Macaca fascicularis: one gene and its partner. The protein of the gene in region 1 interacts with the protein of each later gene in a pairwise test. Links are inferred from orthologs where the notes say so. Each region holds a gene or a part of one and is shown in the gene's direction. Other genes may lie near its edges.

The links.
Region 2: the proteins of SORBS2 (region 1) and EFS interact in binary tests that used the Homo sapiens proteins (3 or more experiments, as listed by UniProt). The two-hybrid records come from large-scale screens. The link is inferred for Macaca fascicularis from reciprocal best matches to the Homo sapiens genes SORBS2 and EFS.

Annotation. Positions count from the first base shown.
Region 1 is NC_088379.1:190,382,909-190,386,469, reverse strand, and holds part of SORBS2 (sorbin and SH3 domain-containing protein 2), read left to right. Parts: intron 1-952; coding exon 953-1,140; intron 1,141-3,481; coding exon 3,482-3,561. UniProt on the Homo sapiens protein: Adapter protein that plays a role in the assembling of signaling complexes, being a link between ABL kinases and actin cytoskeleton. Can form complex with ABL1 and CBL, thus promoting ubiquitination and degradation of ABL1.
Region 2 is NC_088381.1:91,134,349-91,138,535, reverse strand, and holds the start of EFS (embryonal Fyn-associated substrate), read left to right. Parts: upstream 1-1,346; 5' UTR 1,347-2,607; coding exon 2,608-2,625; intron 2,626-4,187. UniProt on the Homo sapiens protein: Docking protein which plays a central coordinating role for tyrosine-kinase-based signaling related to cell adhesion. May serve as an activator of SRC and a downstream effector. Interacts with the SH3 domain of FYN and with CRK, SRC, and YES.

The DNA of each region.
Region 1 (3,561 bases):
TATTACTGAGTGAAGGAAGCCAATCCGAGAGGCCACATCCTGCATGATATCAACTGGGCATGGTGAAAAGGCAAAACTGTGGAGGCCGTGGAAAGATCAATGGGTGCCAGGATGAGCGGGAGGAAGGGAGGGATGAAAAGCTGGAGAACAGAAACTTTTTATGGCAGTAAAACTATTTTATATGTTTGACACATTAGTGATAGACACACATCATTATACATTTCTCAAAACCCATAAAATGTTTAAGATAAAACATGAACTCAAATGTAAGCTATGGACTTGGGGTGAAGATGCATCGAGGTAGATCCATCGATTGTAACAATGTACCCCACTAAAAGAATACGTAAATGATAAGGGAAACTGTGCAAGAGGAAAGGGACTACGAAGAAACTTTCTACACTTTCCAGTCATCATTTCTGCAAGCCTAAAACTGCTCTAAAAAAATTAAGTCGGCCGGGCACAGTGGTTCATGCCTGTAATCCCAACACTTCAGGGAACTGAGGATGGAGGATCACTTGAGATCAGGGGTTTGAGACTCTGTCTCAACCCAGCCTGGGCAACATAGTGAGACTCTGTCTCTATGTAAATAAAAATTTAAATAATTAGCCAGATGTGGTGGCGCACGCCTGTGGTCCCAGCTACTCAGGAGGTTGAGGCAGGAGTATCCCTTGAGCCCAGGAGTTTGGGGTTGCAATGAGCTGTGATTGCACCACTGCACTTCCAGCCTGGGTGACGGAGCCAGAAGTCATCTCAAAATAAATAAATAATAAAGTCTTTTCATTTTTAAAAGGATCCTTCTAGAGAAATCATGTTGAACATCGAGGGATGGGTTCCTAGCCATGCAGTTTTGGGGATAGAAGTTTAGGAGTCACTAGCATGTTCCACTGGTTTTTCTGGTGCACACCTTAACCTCCTCCAGTGCCAGTCAAACAGATCTGATTCCTTCTTTCAGTTCTGCAAGCATGGCCAGTGACTTCAGGAAGCGGAGGAAGAGCGAGCCTGCAGTGGGTCCACCACGGGGCTTGGGAGATCAAAGTGTGAGCAGGACTAGCCCAGGCCGAGCGGACCTCCCAGGATCAAGCGCCACCCTTACAAAGTCTTTCACTAGCTCTTCTCCTTCTTCCCCATCGAGAGCAAAAGGTGAGCAATAGTAAATGAAAACACAACAATTTACTAGTTTACATTTTAGCCTAGAGCACTGTGTGAAAGCTGGCCCAGTGATAGTGGCACGAGCCGGCTCCCACCTACAGTGTCTGGAATAAAATACACTTTTAGAACAATAGCTTTCTTCCCACCCAGACTGACTCAAGCTGGCGAGCCACTCAGGTTGCTTCAAGAACTCTGACTAGCATCTGCTAACGCTTTTTTCCCCCCAAATAGATCCCTTTCTAAACAAATTCAAAGTATCAAATATGTATCATCAGGCTACTAAAAGATGTCATTTGTAAACATTGAGGTATAGTCAAAATTTTCTAATGTTTCTGCAACTAGCAAATCAGTCAAATTTATAGGATAGAAATTACAAGCAGCAACAGAGGAAATTGTTACCTAAAATATACATTGGTTTGGAGGTTTTAAAAAGTTATTCAATTCTAGATTTAAAAACAAAATCCGACCTATTAATTTCTTTAGCCATTTGCTGTATATTTTGGGCCACCTTCATATGAACAGTGGAGCATCCACATCCTGCCAGGTCACATAGTGGTCCATTCACAGCAGTTCACAGTCAGGACTGATGGGTCCCGGACCATAATTACGTCATTCAGGAATCACCAAGCCTTTTTTTCTGGGCGGCCTGTCTCCTCACTGCAGGTGTAGGGAGCTCACTGTTGAAAGGAGTAAGTCACTCCCTCTGGTTTCTGGAAGACCATTTAGTGGTCTTCCTTGAGGACAGGAATATTTCTGAGATGGAGAGTAAGGATTGAACCAGCACCCACAGGGAGCTAGGGCTCTACCAAATATGGGACCACACAATCTCTTCTAATATCTCAGGATCGAAATGGAAGAGAAAGAGATTTTGAAATGTGTGAAGAAATTGAGCTCTAACATAAGTTTCTATAAAACTAGACCGATTCAGCTACACCTATCAACTATACTCACTAAAACCATTGCCACATGATAGTTAAAAGTGATAGCTGATTTGTGTGCAAAAGATATTCTGGTTGTGATGATTGGACTCTGAGTAGGTGGAGGCCTCGCCCTTTTCAGGCCTCGTAAAGCTGTGATATCAGCTGATGGTTGAGGGCATACAAGCTCCATCCATCCTCCTTTCCTCTGAGGAGCAGAGATGCCTTCTCAGATCCAACTCACGTATTCCAATGAATATCTTAAGGTAACAAGTAAGTCATGCAATGCCATTGACTCATTATTATTGTATACTACCCAAAAGTCAAAAGGATTCTGATAAATGTAGATATTTGTTTTATCACAGGGAGTGTTAAATCAACTTCCTTTCCCAGGCAGTACATATCTACCTAATGTGCTCACCTACTTTTAAAGAATTTAGAGAACATTGTAAGGTATGTGTATTGAATACAGACATTTTCCTCCGTTAGATTTTATTTCTAAGAAGAAAATGTCCTGTTAGATATAATTTGGCTTCTCATTTATTAGTTAACTCAGCAAAACAAAAGAACATTTCCATAGCTATTCAAAATTGAATCCAAGTGTACATCTCTATTATCAAATTGCAAATATATTTTTTAAAACTCTTCCCAGAAAAAAAGCATGATATATGCGCCTCTGATGAAAGCTTTGCATTATATTCAGTTTTCCTATGAGAACTATGTACCTAATAAGAGGTTAAAGGTAGAGCAATTTAAGAGGTAAATTCGTTAGTTTAAAGAGCTTTAGCTATTTTTTTCTTGGAGAAACGTTAGCAGCAATAGTTCACAGCATTTTGATTTTGCAATTTTGGAGAATACTTTGCCTTATAGCTTTTAAAATCCAAAACCCATAAAAAATTATTTTATATAGTCATGAGAGTATTAATTAGATGTAAATGTGTAAACCCCTCTCTACCTATGTATCATTACGAATCAAATGGGACTCAAATTCCGGCCCTATGAAATTGATTAAGTGTATAACACTTTTGGCACTAACTGTTAAACCTTTACTACCAGATCATGCTATCAGCTGAAGAGGCACTATTGTGTTTTGGCAAACAGTATTGTCAGAAAGGTGTATGAATTATGCAATAGAAGTAGGCGTATTTGCTTCCATCAGTTACTTCTTAGGCATAGTTTTGCCAACTCTCTCTGCAAAGCTACATTCATTGAGAAAGTATTAGCTCGCTTTAGAATTAGACCTTTTTCTCTAGAGCTGATGCTCCATGCGTTAACAATCAGCCTCTAGACTAAAACACACTAACTGCTTTCCCCTTGCTGTGCTGTCTGATGCTTACTGACATGCTCTCCTCTCTTTGTGAACCTTTTAACTTCTCCAAATGTCTCTCTTCTACCACGCTGCTCTGGATTAAAAGGTGGGGATGATAGCAAAATGTGTCCATCCCTTTGCAGTTACTCAGGGCTCAACGGCAACCCCTCCAGTGAGTTAGATTAC
Region 2 (4,187 bases), on another chromosome or scaffold:
GAAGCAGGAGATCTCCCTGGAAATTTAAAAGTTCCTCTGCTATCCTAGTGGAGTTGGAAACTATTCAGGAGTCTTCCATCACAGCCAGCCAGCCTACAGCCAACACAGTTCATCCCCATCCCCATGTTTATCCCAGAATCTCTCCCTATTCCACCCCATAGGCTCCACCACACCCCTCACGCAGAGGTTTCTTCACAGGTGCCCAGGCAATAAGAGTGGGGAAGGAGCTGGGGCACGTGTCCTGACCACACTGTCCTAGGAAATGCCTAGATGTGTGGGTCTGTGGAATATTGAGGCGGGGTTATCTGTTCAGGTCCTCAAGTTCACCAAAGGCCTTATATTACATTTCTGATCTTATCTCCAAATAAGGTTATGCACATACACACAATAAGGTTACATATGTGTTTGAAGGGTTAATTTGTTCAATGTAAACATCCAAAATATACCACAGCTTTCAATCCTGTTTATCATCTTGCTTTTTAAATACCAGGAACCTCAAAAATGCAAGAAGGTAGGTGTCACTCAAGCTTGACAGGCCCTGATGTGTGTGTCCCAAAGGAAAGGTCCAGGGAAGCAGCACACACTAAGGAGTTATCCCAGGGCAGAGGAGCTTTGGGGGTCAGGAGCACCGTCCTTTCAGTGGAAACTCCTGGCGGGGCTAGATCCCAGCTTCTCTGAAAGAGTTCTAGCAACTTTTGTGCTAGCGGTCCCCAGTCCTCTCCTCATAGCAGCAAGAGCGAGCCAGGCTGAAGAGGCCGACAGGCCCAGACTGGCAGAGGAGTGTAAGAGGCCGCACAACCTGCCCGCCTGCAGCTCTGGGGCCAGACGCCCTGCTTCATGTTCTGTCACCAGGGTCAGAATCCATGTCCAGCGCCAGACTCCCGCCCTGTGCCCCGCAAGAACGACCCAGCGAACCCCGCTGCCCTGCAGGGGAGGCGCCGAGGATTGGAGAGGCTCTGCTAAGGGCCCCGCTGGGCTGGAGGCGCGCGCTCCCTCCATGGGGAAAGACAGATGTGGGGCTAATGAAAGGGAAGCCGGGAGGCGCGGGGCCAGCGGGGGAGACGGGGGCGTGGCGGGGAGAGGAAAGCTCCCGGAGAAAGCCGACCGGACTGCCGCGAGCGAGGCCTGCAGCGGAGTCCAGAGGAGGAAGGCGCCGGGGACTGGGGCAGGACCAGGGCGGGAACGGGTGGGGGAGGGGTACCACAGGCAGTTGGACCCGAGGGTCCTGAGCTGAAACTCAACACCCGCCTTTGGAAGGATCGTCCCCCTTTCTCCTCCGCCCCTTCCCTTCCCCTCCCCTTTCCCCTCCCTCCTTTCTCTTAATCCCCAGGACTGAGCCCCGCGCCGGAGAGGAGAGGGCCTGAGGGGAGGAGAAAGGAACAGCACTGAGAGGGGCCAGGAGCCCAGGAAGGGGAGAGAAGGGCAGCCGCGGCCCAGGGGTGAGCCTGGGGGCCACGCGCGACCCCCGGAGCCTTCGCAGCCCTCTCAGTGTCCCCACCCCCAGCCCAGGCGAGTCCGCAGGACCCGGGACCCTGCTCCTCCTTTGCCTTCTCTTTGCTCCTTCTTTTGCTTTGTGGCCTTTCTTTCCCTTCCCAGAGACACCTGGGAGCTGCCCCCAAGCTGTGGGGCGCGCCGCGGGGTCCTGCCAAGGGTGCCTGTGAGAGGGGGCGGCGGGGCCGGCGCCGGGTGCCAGGGGCCGAGGGTGGGAGCAGGAGCTTGTGGCCTTGCGCCCTGGAGCCGAGGACTGGAAGGGGGCTGGGCCCCTCTGCCGCCTGGGCGCGGGCAGCGCGTCGGAAAGGCTGTCCCGCCTGTTCCAGTGGTGCCTGTGTGCTGGTTGCTGCTGCTCGGGGTGAGGCGCTGTGGCGGCGACCTCAGACCCCCGGGCGCGCTGAGTGAGTGCGCGCGTGAAAACCGCCGCGCTGCCGGGGGTGCGAGTGTTTGGGCAGAAGCGGCCACTCCAGCGACCCAGCCCCACAGCCACGCTCTCGGGGGTCTTTGGCTCCGGGCAACTTGGGACAAACGTCTAAGTTCTCGCTCTCCCTCCCTCCCAGCGGGGTCGCCGCAGACCCAAGCCCTGGGAGCACCGCTCTGCAGCACAGCCGGCGGGTGGAGAGGGTTGGCCCCAAAACTCGCTCGTCCAGCCCAACCGCCCCAGCGGCTTCTCCCAGCCCTCGAGGCTCTCGTGAGCGGCCTGGAGAGGCGTCGAGCGCAGCCCAGCGCCCGCCTGCTCACCTGCCCCGGCCCCCGAAGGGAACTTTCGGCTCCTGCGAGCCCGGGGCGCCCCCGCGGTCTAGGGCGGGCAGCTCCCGGGGACTGGACGAGGTGGTGGTGCCCGGGAGACCGCGGGGACAGCACGCAGCGCGCGCCCTTGGATGCGGTCCCGCAGCGACGCCCCGGCCCGCCCCGCTCCTCCTCCTGCCTGGCTAGCCTGCCTCTCATTTGGGAAGTTTTGTGGGTTTTCTTTCTCCTCCTCCGACCTTGGCGGAGGCCACGACTCAGGCGCCACAGCTGGGGGCTAGAGGCCCCGAATCATGGTGCGGGGCAGCCACCGCTGAAGTCAGCGAAACCGAGCCTGGCCTGAGGCAGGCTGCGCGGGAGGCCAAAGCCATGGCCATTGCCACGTCGGTGAGTCCACCAGGGAGAGGAGGCTGCCGGGGAGAGACCTCCACGGCCTGCCCTGCGCTCCTGTCACTTTATTTCTGCCCTCTCTTTGTCTCTCTCCTTGGTCCCTTTCTTCTCCAGAAGGCTGTGTCCCCCTCCTCTCACTTTTGTTTCCCTTCTCCCTCTCACTCCTCATCCCCTGCTCCTCCTGGCTCCGGGCTCTCCCCTCTTCCCCGCCCCCTCCTGTTCTCCTTTTTCTTACTAGAGGCTGCGCCTGAATGGAGGGGAGGGGGCAAGCGTAGCCTGAGTCCTATCTGCTTCTTTTGGGCGGGAACAGATGGCTACTGGTGGTTGGCAGGGGCTTGTGATTGGGAGGCAAGTAAAAGGTTTGGAGGGGGCTGAAAAGACCTAGTGGCTCACGGAAAACGAAAAACGAGAGGCTGAAGGACCCAAGGAGGCCCATCTCAAGGGAGATAGACCAAAGGAGGGAGATCAGGAAGGAGAAAGAGAAGACAGAGGGAGGAGGGGAGGTGATGTCAGCCAGCCTCAGGCCACTTTCCAGGGATCAGGACAAAGGGAGGAGACAGCTGGCATGATGGGACAGTGGGAGGAGGCCTCCCAGAGAGCACAGAGGCCCTCTGCCACCCACATTAGGCTGGCCATTCCCTCACCAGTCAGCTGGACCGCTGGGGGATAGAGCAGGAGTGGCCACACCCATCATCAATCAGCCCATCAACAACTCTGTCCTGCAGTGGCAGGGCCCAGAGGCTTGGCCCCACTGGACAGAACTCAAACTTAACACCAAGGAGGAGCGCTCTACAGCCCCACCTCGGTTTTCTGTTCTACAGTCTATGCAGTCTGAATCCAGGCAGCTCTGTTCCCCTTCCACCCTCTTCTAGGTCCTGCCTAAGCTTCCCAGGGAAGCGAGGCCGTCACTTGCTTTCTGGTCCCTTCTCAGTGGGGACTCTTGGAGAGATAATTGTGAGACTGGAAAGAGAAGCACCGAGCCACCCAATGTCCTCCCATACCCTTTGAGGACAGGTTCAAGTTTGGTTCTTTCTCAGACCAAACTCCTTTTTTTTTTTTTTTTTTCCTGAGACAAGGTCTCACGCTGTCACCAGGCTGGAGTGCAGTGGCACAATCATGGCTCACTGCAGCCTCCACCTCCTGGGCTCAGGTGATCCACCTACCTCAGCCTTCTGAGTTGCTGGGACTACAAGCACGCACCACCACATCGGCTAAATTTTTGTATTTTTTGTAGAGGCGGGGTTTTGCCATGTTGCCCAGGCTGGTCTCAAACTCCTGGGCTCAAGCAGTCCATCTGCCTCAGCCTCCCAAAGTGCTGAGATTACAGGCATGAGCCACCGCACCTGGCCCCAAACTCCTTTTAATTCCTCAATCTGTAACAATGGCCAGGAAACCCTAGCTCAGAGTGGGGACGGAGGCCCTCTGGAGATAGAGTACCTCTGGGAGTACTCTGGCATAGAGATGCTGGTTCAGGAGCCAGCTAGTCAGCTTTGTAGTCCCAAGAAGGTAGATTTTTCTTTTTATGGTCAGGGGCATTTATGCTAATCAAACTCACAGGA